3 linked regions of the Daphnia pulex genome follow. Each later gene encodes a partner of the first gene's protein in a complex. Links are inferred from orthologs where the notes say so. Each region holds a gene or a part of one and is shown in the gene's direction. Other genes may lie near its edges.

Evidence for each region.
Region 2: eukaryotic translation initiation factor 3 subunit B-like (region 1) and eukaryotic translation initiation factor 3 subunit M-like share a complex: the UniProt entries of both Drosophila melanogaster proteins name them as parts of the eukaryotic translation initiation factor 3 (eIF-3) complex. The link is inferred for Daphnia pulex from reciprocal best matches to the Drosophila melanogaster genes eIF3b and eIF3m.
Region 3: eukaryotic translation initiation factor 3 subunit B-like (region 1) and eukaryotic translation initiation factor 3 subunit D-like share a complex: the UniProt entries of both Drosophila melanogaster proteins name them as parts of the eukaryotic translation initiation factor 3 (eIF-3) complex. The link is inferred for Daphnia pulex from reciprocal best matches to the Drosophila melanogaster genes eIF3b and eIF3d1.

What each region holds. Positions count from the first base shown.
Region 1 is NC_060026.1:9,961,439-9,969,888, reverse strand, and holds eukaryotic translation initiation factor 3 subunit B-like, read left to right. Parts: upstream 1-3,793; 5' UTR 3,794-3,918; coding exon 3,919-4,051; intron 4,052-4,129; coding exon 4,130-4,325; intron 4,326-4,390; coding exon 4,391-4,697; intron 4,698-4,778; coding exon 4,779-5,174; intron 5,175-5,241; coding exon 5,242-5,489; intron 5,490-5,550; coding exon 5,551-5,795; intron 5,796-5,856; coding exon 5,857-6,026; intron 6,027-6,087; coding exon 6,088-6,291; intron 6,292-6,365; coding exon 6,366-6,474; intron 6,475-6,538; coding exon 6,539-6,636; 3' UTR 6,637-6,900; downstream 6,901-8,450. Other genes in the region: DNA-dependent protein kinase catalytic subunit-like, read right to left, coding at 1-8, 70-363, 424-627, 718-827, 888-1,133, 1,201-1,302, 1,380-1,531, 1,596-1,762 and 6 more. UniProt on the Drosophila melanogaster protein: RNA-binding component of the eukaryotic translation initiation factor 3 (eIF-3) complex, which is involved in protein synthesis of a specialized repertoire of mRNAs and, together with other initiation factors, stimulates binding of mRNA and methionyl-tRNAi to the 40S ribosome.
Region 2 is NC_060019.1:9,159,597-9,163,345, reverse strand, and holds eukaryotic translation initiation factor 3 subunit M-like, read left to right. Parts: upstream 1-1,333; 5' UTR 1,334-1,472; coding exon 1,473-1,514; intron 1,515-1,750; coding exon 1,751-1,858; intron 1,859-1,917; coding exon 1,918-2,072; intron 2,073-2,134; coding exon 2,135-2,353; intron 2,354-2,414; coding exon 2,415-2,572; intron 2,573-2,627; coding exon 2,628-2,735; intron 2,736-2,794; coding exon 2,795-3,147; 3' UTR 3,148-3,249; downstream 3,250-3,749. Other genes in the region: cysteine--tRNA ligase, cytoplasmic-like, read right to left, coding at 29-761; DPH3 homolog, read left to right, coding at 3,502-3,609, 3,678-3,749. UniProt on the Drosophila melanogaster protein: Component of the eukaryotic translation initiation factor 3 (eIF-3) complex, which is involved in protein synthesis of a specialized repertoire of mRNAs and, together with other initiation factors, stimulates binding of mRNA and methionyl-tRNAi to the 40S ribosome.
Region 3 is NC_060023.1:3,616,111-3,620,388, reverse strand, and holds eukaryotic translation initiation factor 3 subunit D-like, read left to right. Parts: upstream 1-1,478; 5' UTR 1,479-1,624; coding exon 1,625-1,732; intron 1,733-1,792; coding exon 1,793-2,045; intron 2,046-2,102; coding exon 2,103-2,170; intron 2,171-2,229; coding exon 2,230-2,357; intron 2,358-2,428; coding exon 2,429-2,561; intron 2,562-2,625; coding exon 2,626-2,773; intron 2,774-2,834; coding exon 2,835-2,959; intron 2,960-3,023; coding exon 3,024-3,236; intron 3,237-3,295; coding exon 3,296-3,438; intron 3,439-3,497; coding exon 3,498-3,766; intron 3,767-4,088; exon of another isoform or gene 4,089-4,130; coding exon 4,131-4,141; 3' UTR 4,142-4,252; downstream 4,253-4,278. Other genes in the region: cytochrome b-c1 complex subunit 2, mitochondrial-like, read left to right, coding at 1-256, 324-763; L-allo-threonine aldolase-like, read right to left, coding at 4,254-4,278. UniProt on the Drosophila melanogaster protein: mRNA cap-binding component of the eukaryotic translation initiation factor 3 (eIF-3) complex, which is involved in protein synthesis of a specialized repertoire of mRNAs and, together with other initiation factors, stimulates binding of mRNA and methionyl-tRNAi to the 40S ribosome.

The sequences.
Region 1 (8,450 bases):
TCTCGATCCTATGAAAAGAATATATCGTACCAAAGAGGAAGAAAATTCCTAAACTTATTTCATGAATACAATAGTAGGCGTTGCGTTTGCTTTGGATCGATTTAATCGTTTTCCGCTAATAAAGGGCACTTCCTTGGTAAATTTTTCCACACTACTCAAATAAGGTTCGAGAAAAGGTAGAATTTCCTCCATTATGGGATCGATGCAGGAAAAGGATAATGCTGTTTGCCAATGTTCTAATGCGTTCAACGGCCATTCAGCCATAGGCGGATATGTCAGACCAATCTTTAAGGCTGAAGCTAAAGCACCGGTGACTGAACTACTGAGCGAGGTCACCAACCACGCAGGACTTGATAAAACAGCCTACAACAATTTTTCAAATAAATGAAAGAAAACAATCAAAAATAAAAATTTAGCTTTTACCTGAACGGCAGAGACAAGGACATCATCTGAAAGTTGCGCTAGACGATTAATTAGGCTAGACATGTACAATTCATAGGTGGGGTGATGAATAACGGGTAAATCTTGCCCTATAATAGACAACACCAATGCCAAAACACGGTACAGTCCCGGAACTAATGGAAATTTCGTTGACAATTCAACAACTTCTCTGCCGAATGGAATAAGCTAATAAAATTAATAAAAAAAACACAACAATAAATAATAATAATTAATAAAGTAAGATGAAAAATAATAATTGATTTCACTAGCACTTACCAAATCTTGCAATCTTTTCCTTGGTTCAATAATCTTCAATAAATCCTCGAGTAAATCAGCAAGGTTGTGGAATAGTTGCCAATCTGCAGGATTTCGTGGACTACTTTCAGCTTTAATCAAGAAATAAAACTTTAATTGTAATGAATGAACGTAAACGTAGTAACAAATACTTTTTTCTCCGTCTACCGTTGAATCTTCCATCTCATTTACTGAGAAATTTAGACGGCTGATTATTGTGGAAATGGCAGTAACCAACTGCCCATCTAGTACTTCAGAAACTCGAACACGGTCCTCCAGACTAAATGGAAGATCCGTCTGGCACGAGAAATTCATAATTGTAATCCAAAGAGAGGCATACTTCTTTATACTGTCAGAATCAAGTTCTGGTCGGGTAGAACGAATTAAACTTTGAATCACTAGAACAAAAAAAAAAGATACATACAAATATATATAACAGTAGCCTATTAGTATTTAATAACATACCAACTTCCCTCACAAAAGCAGAAAAATTAATAGGGTTCTGTACAGCAGCATGAACACCAACTAAAAACACGGCAACTGATCGACCACATCTATTTCGTTCAGCTTCAGGAGTCAGTTGTTGTTCGATTTAAACGTGTTGATTAAATATGTTAGAAAAAAGGAATATTTCAATTTAGTACCTATATCCAAATAGCGCGAGAAAAGATGGACAAACATTTTCTGTAGCTGCTGTGTTCTTTCAATTCCTACGGGGGTAGCATAGCGCATGAGAACAAGTCCAAGGGATTCAAGGCAAATAGGAAAAAGATCCAAGCTCTTTGAAGTATCCTCCCTGCAGAATTTATTAAATTGTTAGTTTTAAGATGGAATTTTAATTGATCAAAAGGCCTGCATACTGGATACAAATAAACGATGTCTTATTGAGTAGATACTCAAAAATGTGTGATACATTCTTTCCAGAAACCAAGAAGCTACACTCGCCCAAGGCTTTAAGGCCAACACATTTGAGCTGGAGGGAAGCCTGATCAGATTCCAAAATCTCTATCACATTCTTCATGAAAAACTAAGAAGATAAATTTTAAACAGAAGAAAATATACATTAATACACATGAAAATGAAAACCTCGAGTATTGATGATTTGTGTGTAGCATCTGATTCAATCTTCAAAATTTTTACGCTTTCGTCAATAAACTTCCCAAGTGCTTTCAGACCACTTTCAAGAATATCTGTTTTTTCGCGCAAAGCATAAGATTTCAAGTTATCGAACCAGGATTTGTATTGCTTTAGCAGCAAGTTATTGAAGAGAGATGCGTGTTCTTCCAGCATGTTCAATGCGGCTGTGCATAAAAAACAAAAACAAAAAATAAATAGTTCAGGCAAAATAATGAAAAACCAAATGTTAATATAACCACCTTTTTTGGTATGAACTCTCTTATCGACCAGTAAAAATTTCGTGAGAAGCATCAATAAGTAACTATGAATTTTTTCCCTACATTTTTGGTCAACGATTGAATTAAATGAATGGAGAAATCCTGTAAGAGCTTCAATACAGCCTGCTACACGTTTATCTTTGAAATCATGCTGCCTTTTCACCTTTAAAGAAAGAAAAAGAAAAATTATTTGATTTTACAGAACGTAATTATTTACGTTAATGTTTAGTTACCTCCTTTTCAAGTTCATAAAGGAGTTGGTTAATGATGCGACTGGCCTTTTCCTTCAGTGTACTAGGAAAGTACTGGGCCAGTCTGCCTAGGAGTACTAGGAAATTCATTTTCGCTAAAGTAAAACATAAATATTATAAATAACCATAGAAATACATATCTATGCATACACAGTAATAATACAATCTGCATAACAAACAGGGTAATTATACAATAGTCTTTTTAATTAATCACCTTTGCTTGAACTATCATCAGAAGATGTAGCCATTTTTTCAAAAAGCATATTAGAAAGGGCTGGCAAATTCAGTTCTTCTAATATTTCTGTTGGTGAAGTTTGAGCAGTAATAACAACTTGGCAAAGAACAAAATAACAAGCTCCTCGTATCTTAGAATTTTTGGAGTTCATGTACATCAATGCTAAATTCTTAAGGTAAATGAAAGTTATACTATTAGGTTTTTACACATAGCTAGGTAATATTAATTATTTTCCATACTTTAATAACCACTAAATGGTTGCTCATGGATTCTCCAAATTTTTCCAGTAAATCACCCAAAATTGACAGGGCACAATTTATTATTTCTGCAAAGTTGTCATCCTTTTGAGAATCTCTGAACTTGGACAACAAGGAAATTAATCCAATTTCTTTGTTTAGTAAAGCCGAGACAACAGAATCTTTAGAAAAAATACAATGTAAATGAATTGATTAACATGTTTTTGATGGGACCAATATTTGAAACCTACTGTCTTTGGTTTTGGATACAACATCTTTAATATCCTTGATTTGCTCCAGCATATCGCTGCACGTTCCAGAATGCATCTGAAATAGATAACCTTCCAATACGCTGTCCATTTTATATTCCTCGATGTTACCGACAACCGGACACTTTTAAAAGGCCAACTTCTTCTCGATTATTCGCAATTTTTACGACTTTAAAACTTTAATCATACATATTTAAATGTTAAGACAAGTTTTCAATTGTAGTGGTTCTTCAAAATTTTGCGATCAACGTTAACTCACGTAGGTTATAGGCCTAAGTGATGTTTTCATCCCTCCCGGGTTATGATGATTCGGCTGCTAGAATTGTGCTTTTGCGTAGGCATATTTGCCATGACTGATAGTTAGGCGTAATACATATTTGTAAAATATTCGCTATCATGGTTTTAAAATATCATTACGTTACTTTAAAAATATTTAAAAAAATTATTACCAACTCATTCCTCAAATGGGTATAAGGATTCAACTTTTTTGGAAATGAATAAATGTAGGCTATTTTCTGAAAACAAAAAAAAATCCAATGTATGATTATAATGCGAATAAAAATCAAGAAAAAATAATAATAATAAAAAATCTAAATTATTTTCCCTTCAGAAGATCCCGTTCTAGCTGACAGGCTAGGCTAGTCACCAAGTTACCTATGGTGTTTGGTGAATGGTGATTGCCTGATTGGTGGATGGTGGTTGCCTTGGCCTTCTCGATGGTAGTATTATTTGTTGAAATCTGGCACAGGCTTCCGCCATTAAAGACTCGTGTCCGGTGTGCAGTGCTTGTTTTTCATCATGGCTCGACGAAAAGAAAATGATCGAGCTCAGCAAAATAACGATGACTCGGATTCTAACCCAAACGATGAATTAGAAGACGAGCCCAACTTCGATGATCCGGAAGGTTATGAGGACGATATTTCTGAAGAAGGTACCGTTTGTAACTTACCTTTTGCCATATGGCTTTCCTGAGCATGCCGGCATTGAATCTTGCTAACTGTCAATGTAGATCTTATAGGTGACCTCATCAGGCAGCGTCCGAAAGAAACCGACGGAGTCGAATCAATTGTTGTTATTGACGGTGTTCCTCAGGTTGGTACTGAGAGGATAGAAAAACTTCAAAATGTCCTGAGAAAACTATTCCAAAAGTTTGGAAAAATAACTAATGAATATTATCCTCTTAATGCTGATGGATCAACTAAAGGGTAATTTATTAGTTTTTTTTTTAACTTTTGTGTCAGCCCAATTTTAACATAATATACTTTTGAAGCCATGTTTTCATAGAGTACTCAAATGCCAATGAAGCATTGGAAGTTCTTAAAGGAACTAATGGTTACAAGTTCGACAAAAATCACACCTTCACTGTGAACTTACTTACTGACTTCGAAAAATATAATGACATTCTTGATAAGTGGGAAAATCCAATTCCTCAGCCGTTTAAGGAGCAAGGATGCCTTCAATACTATCTTCTTGATCAAGACGCTTGTGACCAATTCTCAGTTGTGTATGAGCAGGGAGACAAAGTTGCTGTTTATTTGAACACTCAACCTGAACCCTCTCTGCTGGAAGAAAGACCTGTGAGTCACTTCACCTTTATTATTATTATTATTTTTTTTTTTCATATTAAAATTTTATCTGACCAATAATTATCTTCACAGAGATGGACTGAGACTCTAGTGCGGTGGTCACCTCTTGGCACCTATCTAGCCACTTTCCATGCAAAGGGTATAGCTCTTTGGGGTGGTGAAAAGTTTCAACAAATTGTGCGCTTCAGTCATCCAGGAGTGCAATTCATTGACTTCTCACCATGTGAGAAGTATTTAGTATCTTTTAGTCCACTGGCTGATTCAAGAGCAACTGATGAACCACAAGCCATCATCATTTGGGACGTGTTGAGCGGTCTTAAGCGACGAGCTTTTAATGCCGATAAATCTCAAGCCCTGCCCATTTTTAAGTGGTCGCATGATGACAAGTATTTCGCTAGGATGGGAATCGACATGCTTTCTGTTTATGAAACCCCATCATTTGGCCTTTTAGACAAGAAGTCGATCAAAGTAACGTACACGATTTACAAAATCTTCTAATAACCATTTCCTAACATGCACTCTTACATTTTGATAGGTTCAAGGAATTCGAGATTTTGCCTGGAGCCCAACAGACAATACGATTGCTTATTGGGTCGGAGAGGAGAAAGATACTCCTGCTCGCGTCACACTTCTTGAGTTGCCAAGTCGCAATGAAGTGCGAGTCAAAAATTTGTTTAGCGTTGCCGACTGTAAAATGTATTGGCAAAAATCAGGTGACTATTTGTGTGTGAAAGTCGACCGCTATGCCAAATTAAGGAAAGATAAGTCCGATATCAAATACAGGTAATGAGATGCCACTCCTTCAATTAATAGATATAAAAGCTAATTTTCCCCCCTTTGATAGCGGTATCTACTACAATTTGGAAGTTTTCCACATGCGAGAAAAACAAATTCCAGTCGACTCGGTAGAAATCAAGGAAACCATTCAAGCTTTTGCGTGGGAGCCAGTTGGTACTAAGTTTGCCGTCATCCACGGTGAGCCACCGAGTACTTCTGTTTCTTTCTTCGAAGTTAAAACTGGACAAACGCCTACGATGGTTAAAAAATACGAACGTAAACCTTGCAACCAGTTGTACTGGGCCCCTTCTGGTAAGAAAACATTAAATTTAATGTTAAAATTCTAAAATCCTTACTATACTTTATCGAACAGGCCAGTTCATTGTGTTAGCCGGCCTACGTGCCATGTCTGGCACATTGGAATTTGTCGACACCCATGATTTTACCGTCATGAATACGGGCGAACACTTCATGGCTACTGATGTGGAGTGGGATCCAACCGGTCGGTATGTCGCAACTGCTGTTTCCTGGTGGGGTCACAAGGTAACAAAAATCAAGCAATGTATTCATTTTTGACAATGTTTGATCTCTTGTACTTTGACAGGTCGATAATGCCTACTGGTTGTGGTCCTTCCAAGGACGCATTCTCAAACGCGTAGCACTAGACAAATTCTGTCAGCTGCAATGGAGACCTCGACCACCTTCATTACTTCCAGCCCAACAAATAAAGGACATTAAGAAGTCTTTGAAGAAATTTAGTGCCCAATTCGAAGTGAAGGATCGATTGAAAATGACTAAAGCTTCCAAAGTAAATATTTTTTGAATGTGTAATTTTTGGCGAAAGTATTTTCTAAAAATCTGACATTTTCAAACTTCACCCAGGAATTGGTAGAAAAACGCCGCAAACTGATGCAAGAATATGAAGACTTGCGTAAGCAGAAGCAAGAGGACTATGACGCTCAACGTCGCCGTCGTATCGAATTGCGCAACAGTAAGTTCTTAAACCTAGTTAATAAGTAAGCTTATCAGGATTTAACTCACAAATGAATTCACAGACGTGGATACGGATGAAACTGAAGGCCGTGGAGGGGAATTAGAAGAGGAGACAGTCGAGTTTTTCATTAAAGAGGAGACGACATTCATCGACGAGTAATTGCCAAGACTGTAAACAATCACCACATCTTGAGGCGTGCTGCTTATTCAGTGAAAGGCAGCACATCTCGAGGTTTTTGTCAGATATTAATATCCGACAAATCCAACATCAGAAAATGAAGACAAATATAATTGTGTGTCTCATCGATTGGTTATGGCTGTTTGCGTCTCTCTTTGGTTTCAACTATCATGTACCCTTTAGATTATCAAAAATACATTTTGATTGCCTCGTCGCAACTGAAGTTGAACGAGAAGTAAAAAGGAATATATTGTACATGTTTCTGTTTGGGAAAAATTTACCGTTAACATTCGTTGATCAATAAGTCTGCAAATTTTTCTATAATGTTAGTCTTAAACTCTTAACAGAGATATACTCTTTCTTATAGTGCCCGAGGGTACTGTAATCGAAACATGGAGTTCGATCATTTTGACAGCAGAGTAATGAAAGACTGGAAGTACTTAAATTTTCCATGGCTTGAATTAGTTAGCATTTCGGAATTTATGGGTTATAGTGGGAAATGGAATTGAAGTCTGAAGGAAATGACGGATTTATAGAATGTTGGAAACTGGAATGGATTGGAAAATTGGAAAAACAAAAATATTATTTTTACTACTACATTTTTTTCTGGTGCGTGCGGCAACGTTGTCTCACATTATGACACGAAGTTGGGTGTGAAGTGGTGTGAAGAAGAAGGCGAAGTTTTCATTTCGATCAGTTTTGTCAGACATGGTAATGGTAAAATCTATTGCACTCCGGAGTCCGGAGCGCTCTAGTGTCAAAAGTGGCTATTGCACTCCGGAGTCCGGAGTCCTCTAGCGTCAAAAGTGGCTATTGCACTCCGGAAAGGAAATATGTAGTACTTTCATTTGGCGACCGATGGCATTCTGTTTCTGTGTTTTGAAATTTGAATGGTTTAGATTTGAATTATTTGGAAATTCAAATAAAATGTATTTATAACAATCAAATATATTTGAATCTCACTAATAAATAAAAATAGTCAGTGTATAGAAGGAACTTTTATTTCGTTATCGTTAACTTAGCTAGAGTACAATGTCCAACATTGAATCAGCTTAAAATTCAAATTGTTAATATAGTTAAGTGTCTTGCAGCAGGAATAAAGTAGAATTTATAAACATTTCAATTCAGGGTGATATTTCTTGTTAACCATTTCAATGTCTTGCTCTATATGCTCAGTGTTATTATTTATATTATATCATTATATTCAAAGTAAGGATTTAAACAGGTTGTTAAACACGCTATAAACGCACGACATAGTGAGTCACCCTCTGTCACCCCCTTACTTGCCCGAAGGTCGAGCCGGAGTTCTCAGAACGGGGCTTCGAGGGGTTCTTTGTGACCTTTAAACGAATTGACCAGCAACTAACTATTTCTGCTGATTGATTCACACGTAACGTGTGATTCAGCTCTATTACACAGAGGCCATTATATTCAAAGTATAAATTTAGGTTTTTAAACACGCAATTAACACACGACATAGTGAGTCACTCTCTGTCGCCCCCTTACTTGCCTGAAGGTCGAGCCGGAGTTCTCAGAACGGGGCTTCGAGGGGTTCTTTGTGACCTTTAAACGCATTGACCAGCAACTCACTATTTCTGCTGATTGACACGTAACGTGTGATTCAGCTGATTTCACGCTATAAACCATGCAATGCCCGTGTCTCTTATTACAATAAACTAACAGCTAAACACGTCTTTCATATCTTGAAACAAAACGATACAAAACTAAGTTAACATGCAGATGCATTTTACTTTATTATAGTGAGAATATCAAAAGACATTTTAACTGAATTGTGA
Region 2 (3,749 bases), on another chromosome or scaffold:
TAATAGAAAAAAAGAGATAAAAACTCACCTGAATATGCAAGTCCACGTTCAATGATTCGTGAGATGTAATCCACGATCTCCGGGACATATTCGCTAACACGCGTAATAACATCGGCTGGTAGAACATTGAGAGCGGCCATATCTTTGTAAAACTCTTCTTCCCAATGTCGCGGAAGAGACGCGAAAATTGCGTTATCTGAAACATCCATGCCGTGCTTCGAGTCGAGCCAATCGCTCAAGACGTCTTTGGCTTCAGCCAACAAAAAGCTCTTTGCTTCGGATAATCCTTGACCAAGCTTGATTGTTTCGGTGAATTTTTCAATCGCGGCAGTGACTTTGGCCAACATCTTCTCCTGCATAACTTTCTTGTCGGGATCGGTGGTTACTGCCATTTGCTTAGAAAGACGATCAACAGATTCCTTGACATCTGTTTGAAGAGTTTCAAGTTCACTCATCTCAGTTGCATACTTTTCATATAAATAATTTTGCCTTGCTCTTTTAATAATTTTGTCGTCAATATCAGTGATATTCATTACATAAGTAATGTCATATCCAAAGTAGTCTCTTAAGACCCTTCTCAGGATATCAAAAGACATGTATGAACGGGCATGTCCCATGTGGGATGCATCATAGACTGTTGGTCCGCAAGAATACCAGGTGATATTTTTCCCATTCTGAGGAGTAAACACCTCCTTCTTACGAGTCAGACTATTGTAAATCTTCAGCTCCATGCTGCTGTTGTTTAAGGGGGCTTCAGACATAATAGGTGAACAAGGTACAACCAATTTCTCAATGTGTTCCAAAAATTATTATTTATCCCTTCGAAACTTCTCACTCTGTAAGTAAAATCTAGTCATTAATATTTTGAAATGTCTGATGCAATAGTTAAAATGTCTTACTTACTTCTATCTTCTACCTAAATTGCCAACCACTCCAACTATTATATATTTTTGCGATTTGCACGTTAACAGATTTGTGAATGTCACCAGTTAACTTTAACGTTATAAGGAAGTTAACAATTAATAAATTTGAAAAATAAATGCTGGTTCGAATGATAACGATCAAATGAATCCGAAACCGGTGCGTACCTTTGACGGTGTATTCGGTTTGTTTCTTCCAACACCGCAACACGTCAAGTTAGATAGAAATTGCGAGTGAGCCGATAACAGCGATAACAAATGTGGTGATCTTTTATGCTGCAATTTTAAAAGGTAGTAATTTTTTTAATAATAATTTTAAAAAATCAAGAACTGGTTTTAGAAAATTTTGGAAAGCGTGAAAGTGTTGAAACAAAGAATTAAAAAAAAAAAAAAATCGTTGATTTATCTGTAGGGGAACACGGTGGCAATGTCGCCATTACAGACGAACTTCTGTACCGGGATCGTGAGCGTGGCCTATATCCGGATTTTTTTGACAAGCAACTTCTAATAAAGGAATCTTTTTTTCCAGTTTGTTTTGAACAATTTATCAGGATGAGTTTACCAGCATTTATCGATTTAACGGTCGAAGAACAGGTTAGTTTCCCCATAAATTTAGTCCGGTAGATGCTAAACTGTTGTGGCGATGAAGTGTGGAGTCTGCCAGTAGCGTACACCTTTCTGTGTTATAGACAATTTTCCCTACTAGTATTTCTAATTTTTATACCTGTTTTACCACCTGGAGAAAGCAAATAACTGTTATATAGTACTGAGACAAAATTTAAGACATCAAGGCTTTGAATTGGTCATTGTATTCATATCTGTCTTTTTAGGCTACTGAATTGTGTAGCTATTTCAAGGCTCTTGGAGCATCAAATGTGGATGATGATCAAAACTCAGATCTTAGCAACATTGTTGCTGTTGCAGATCTCTGTTTCAAAGTAAGTGACAATTTTATTTCAATTAGTAGTGTGTGTTTACACTATTTTCTTCTTTGAAGGAGGGCAATGAAGTGGAATCTGAGGGAGTCTTGAATAGCATTGTATCTATGCTCGTTCTTCTCCCCAATGAAAAAGCTGAACCAATAATTACTACGTTTTGCCAAAAGCTTGCAAAACCCCCCTCAAACAAGTTGGGACTTGTTTGTCTGAGAGTGTGAGCATTTGAAATTTGAAGTTTACATAATGAATTGTCTAACTATAATTTTGATTCTTTAGTCTGTCTGTACTATTTCATGGGCTTGATCCTGTGAGTACAACGCGTTACACGGTCTATCACACGCTAGTCCAAGTTGCTGGACAAGTGGAACAGATGAAGACAGTGTTCACGGATCTAGATAAAATGCGTACTCAACTAGGGCCATGCAAACCTAACAACGAGCAGATGCAAAAACTCCTCCGAAGTTTACATGAAGCTCTCCTCAACTCCAGAGAAAGGTAAAGTATTGAAGTTAAACAAATAATTGTAACAATAAATCAAACCAGTGTTATTATTCAGTGAACTGGCCTCCAAAGTGATGGTGGAGTTGTTGAGCACTTACACGACCGAAAATGCTTCACAGGCTCGTGAGGAAGCTCAACGCTGCATTGTTGCTTCATTGGCTGATCCCAACACTTTCCTTCTCGATCATTTATTGACTTTGCAACCTGTGAAAGGTTTATAAAAATTACTTTGAAGTTAAATCAGTTATTAATTAATTTTTGTGTACAGTTTTGGAAGGTGCCCTTTTGCACGATCTGTTGACCGTATTCGTGACGGAAAAGCTGTCAGCTTATTTGAAGTTTTATGAGGAAAAGAAAGATTTTGTTGAAGGACTAGGTATTTACTGGAAATTTTTAAGTATTTTTTTAAGAATTTTAAGTAACAATGATTTTTAGGTCTGAAACATGAGCAGAACCTTCGAAAAATGCGAATTTTGACTTTCATGCAGTTGGCTGAAAATTCCGTAGAGCTCCCTTTCGAAACGCTCGAGAAGCAATTACAACTAACCGAAGATCAAGTAGAGGAATTTGTCCTTCAAGTCCTTAAGACGAAATTGGTGCGCGCACGAATGGATCAGTTGAACAAGAAAGTGCTTGTTTCATCAACCATGCATCGGACATTCGGCAAGCAGCACTGGCAGCAGTTGCGTGAGTTGCTGACTACTTGGCGAGGCCACCTCAGACAGGTCAAAGATTCCATGCTAACCATCGTTAACGAGCAAGCCGAACTTCTCGCTCAGCAATCCTGAACCGATTAGAGAAGAAACAAAAGACTTCAAATTATCCCGCTATCCATCTCTATTAAGGTTTTGTGGAAATAAACGATGACGCCGGCACATTATCTGACAAAATCAGACTTTGATCATTATTTCTGTTTTGTTTCCAACATACTGTTGTTTGAAAGTAGGGTAGGAGATAAAAAAAAAATTCTTTTTTTATTATGCTTATTATATGCAACGTGTAAACGTGAGTTAATTCAGGTAGTCTGATTTTTGGCCGGCAGATGTCTCTTTTTCTCACGTGTTGTCTTTTGAAGATCCACACATTTTTGTTTCAGTAGTTGAGAAAAATCTTTTATTTATTACTCAGAATTTTTGGTGAAAATGTCTGTCTATCACGATGAAGTTGAAATCGAAGATTTTGAATATGATTCGGACAGTGAAATTTACTTCTATCCTTGCCCTTGTGGAGATCGGTTTGAAATCACCAAAGTAATGTGACGTCCCCATTCCTTACTCAGATTCCAAGCTTATTAAAAGGTTTACTTTTATTTCAACAGGAACAGCTAGAAAATGGGGAAGAGGAAGCCACATGTCCGAGTTGTTCACTTATAGTAAAAGTAATATACAAC
Region 3 (4,278 bases), on another chromosome or scaffold:
GCCAATTTGCGTGCAGACAATGCTGCAGTTGTTGGAGTTGGTATTCCTCACGATCGCTTGGTCGCATACGCCCAAAGTTTGGCTCTTAAAGCTGGTCAGTCTTGCTCGGGGGCTCCTTCGAAAGTACACGGAGGAGAAGTACGTGTGGATACGAGCAGTTCTTTAGCATATGTGGCTGTAGCTGCTCCCGGAGCTTCTCTGGCTGACACGAAAGCCATGGTTGCATTTGCTCTTCTTCAGAGAGCATTGGGTGCAGGTAATCATATTCCCCTTCTTCCCACAATTAAAAAGTCTATCAAAATAACTCCTTTGTTACTGTCTAGGAATCCCAGTTAAATATGGTTCTGGAGCAGGATCAAAACTAAACCAAGCAGTGTTGGGTGCTGGTGCAGTTTCTTCCTTGAATTTGAACTACTCCGATGCTGGTCTATTTGGGTTCGTGGCCGCTGCCCCAGCCTCAGATGCCGGCAAAGTTGTTTCCGCCGCTACAAAAGTTTTGCGATCAGCTTCAGTCAACGAAAGCCAATTGAGCCGTGCAAAAGCCCAACTTAAAGCCGACTTGTTGATGGCCAAAGAGAACACTGGTGTGTTAGTTGAAGAGTTGGCTCTGCAAGCGCTTCTCAACCGGGCTGATCTTCTTTCTACTGTCGATAATGTTTCAATTGCTGACGTCAACGCTGTAGCTTCCCGGTTGGCTTCTGCCAAGCTAACTGTCGCTGCCATTGGAAACCTGAGCAACGTCCCGTTTGTCGATGAATTATAAAATTTTGAATAGGTCTCTGAATTATAATGTAGTCTATATCTATATTTGCACAGTGGCCCATTAGAAAATATCCAGATCGAACGGTTAATCATTCTTAAGAGCTGAAAGAATACACGTGCCCTGTACAGAATATCCACAGTTTCTCTAATCACTCTAATACTGAAAAATCTTACCTCACAATTCCTCTTTATGTTCCTCTTTCGCAAAATTAAGATTGATACGTCATTCATTTAAAAAACGAAGATACATGGAGGAGAAAGTAATGATTCTCTACTCTCGAAAGAAAATTTGTGCTATCTTCGAAAAGACAACAATAATATGTAATTAAAAAACATTTCTCTCTAGTGGGCTTACTTATATTTTAATGAAGTGTGGGGTTTCCGTGATCTTACGTTCAATCTGGTGTAACTTTCTAAAGTAATGTAACATATTTCTTCATCTGAGTCTGAGCTTGACTCTGGAGGGATTTTATAAAAAACACCATATTCCAGATCAGAATACATTTAGTCATTTAGTATTCTGGCCATTTTTTTATTATATTTTTTGTATTTTTTAGCTGATTTAAGATTTTCATACTTCAGTATCTTATTATAATTGCGTCTAAATTAAAAATTTGTGATTGAAATTAAAGATATGCTAATTCGGAATTATTAGGAAAACAGTGGAAAAAAGTAAAGCGGCAGAAAGGTATAAACATCATTTTCAACAATGGCAACAGTGGTATACGTAGCATCCGGTACTAAAATGGCGATTACCATGTTCTAACTTGTAGCAAGCTGTCAGCCAGCCGGTCTAGTGAGAAAGTGCCTACGACTAAATTCTGAAAAGTTATTTTCATAAGGTCACGTTAAATTGTATAACATGGCGGCGCATTTTGTTCCACCAGCGACTCAAGACAATAATGACGGATGGGGACCTTTAGGTATTCCCGACCGCTACAAAGATATGCCATATCAACCATTCTCGAAGGTAACGTTTCATTGCCGAATTTTGTATTAACTTCTTCTGATGTTTTGTTTAATTTATTAGATGTCGGAATGGGCTGGTGGAAGCAGCATCAATTATTCCTTTACAGACCGCAAGTATGGTGGTGGAAAATACTCTGGAGGGGCTGGTGGAAGCCAGTATGCTTATCTGCATGATGAGGAAGAGAACAGCTTTCAGCTTGTGGATACTGCAAGGACTCCAAGACCAATGTATGCTAGAGGAAGATTCCTTCGCAACCAACGGCTTGCAAGAGGCAGACAAAACTTTAGGAATTCTCAGCCTGTGCCACTTAAAGGTAAAGTGTTCAAATAGCAATTAATAGCAACAGATTGTTTATACATTTTCTTTGAAGGTGGCAAGATGAAGGATAACCGAATGAGACAGACTAGGAACAAGTGGAATAATAGAGGACCTCGTCAAGTAAAGCTTCTCACCTTACCGATTATTCAGTCTCATACTCATTTTTTAAAAACTTGTAGGGCCAAATTCAGGTTAAAAACCGTGAATCATCAGTTATTGTTCAGCCTTCATGGAAAATCATTGAAGAGATGGATTTCCCCAGGCTCAACAAACTTTCTCTGCGTCTTAGCAAGGAAGCTTCTGATTTGTAATCAACTATTTAAACTAAAACCTTTCACATGCTGATTTTAAAATAATGATATTATTTTATTTTTCCAGACTTACTTGTGGTGAACTCGAGTTTTATGATAAGCAGTACGACCGCGTAACTGTGAAAAATGAACGAAGACTGCAAAGAATTGATCGTATTTTTCACAAGGTCACCACAACTGATGACCCCATTATCCGCAAAGTAAGAAACAGTAGTCACATTCAAGTCTTACGCGTGGTAGTATGCTAATTCTCAAATTCATTAGTTGGCAAAAACTGAGGGTAATGTCTACGCAACTGATTCCATCTTGGCTACTTTGATGTGCAGTATTCGCTCCAACTATAGTTGGGACATAATCGTCCAGAAAGTTGGTGGCAAACTGTTTTTTGATAAACGTGATGATTCGGAATTTGGTACGTACCTTTTGGCCACTGAGGGAGTTTGCAATGATCTATAATCTTCCCTTTTCCCTAGATCTGCTAACTGTATCCGAAACATCCAATGAACCTCCTCAAGAAGAGGGCATCAATAGCCCACGTAATTTGGCACTAGAAGCGACCTTTATTAATCATAATTTATCCCAACAAGTCCTGAAGATGGTATTTATAATAGGTTTTATAAAATGGCATAAATCCCTAATTTTGTCGTTTCATAATCTTGTAGGGAGAAGAAAAATTCAAATTGGATGAGCCTAATCCCTTCATTTCGGAAGATGAAGTAGGTGAAGTTGCCTCGGTGGCTTACCGTTACCGTAAATGGGATTTAGATGGGGGTGTTGTTCTGGTGGCACGTTGCGAACATGACGCTGTCACCGTTGGATCGGCTGGTGATAACCAATTTATCAACATCAAAGCTCTTAATGAATGGGACTCAAGGGTATGCATATTCACTGTTCGTAATGAAACTGTGTCTTTAAAATGATTTTGTACTTCAAGTTGTCTGGTGGAGTCGAATGGCGCCAGAAACTGGACACTCAGCGAGGTGCTGTTCTGGCCAACGAGCTGAAGAATAATGCATGCAAGCTAGCAAAATGGACTGTGCAAGCTCTGCTCGCCAACTCTGATTGGATTAAATTCGGGTATGTGAAGACTCCTGTTGTCCCTCGAATATTATTGTAACTAATATTGTTTACTTCAGATATGTTTCCCGTATGCACTTACGAGATACATCGCGTCATGTAATCCTTGGAACACAGCAGTTCCGCCCGTCAGATTTCGCATCGCAAATCAACCTTAACATGGACAATGCTTGGGGCATTCTCCGTTGTATTATTGATTTGTGTATGAAGGAAGAGGATGGCAAATATTTGTTGGTGAAGGATCCTAACAAGCCCGTCATCCGCCTTTACAAGGTGCCCGATAACACGTTTGAGAGCGACGATGAAGCATTTTTCGAAGAAGGCGAAGGTTTGTAACCAATCAATATCGTAACGTGCGTGTGTAACTGCTGGCTTGCTTTTTTTGCTTGGGTGTTGGCCTCCCTTTTTTTTTTACTAGCAAAGATTAAATAAACACGTCCAAGCAGTTAATCAAATTTCCCTGCATTTGTACGCCGTGTTACGTTTTGCTTGAATTCGTAGCTCGAGCTTTGTATATATGTATAATATCTAACCACTAGTGGAAGTGCTTGGCTTCTTGGGGGAAAAAAACCTAATTAGATACGCGACATGACTTAAGGTAGCTTTAAAAAAGGCGCTATTAAACGCATGATTTCATAACGTCAACCACGAAATGGTAAATAATAATGTATTTATTTTTTACACATGAATAGAAGACGAGTAACGGCTGATACAAACAAAAGAACAGCTCTTCCACCAATTCCCCAATCTACAACAGTACTACGTTTGTAATGATCGTTACATGGAATAAAGCACTTATGAAGCTTCCAGTTTACTTATACAGCTTTACTTTGTTTGATT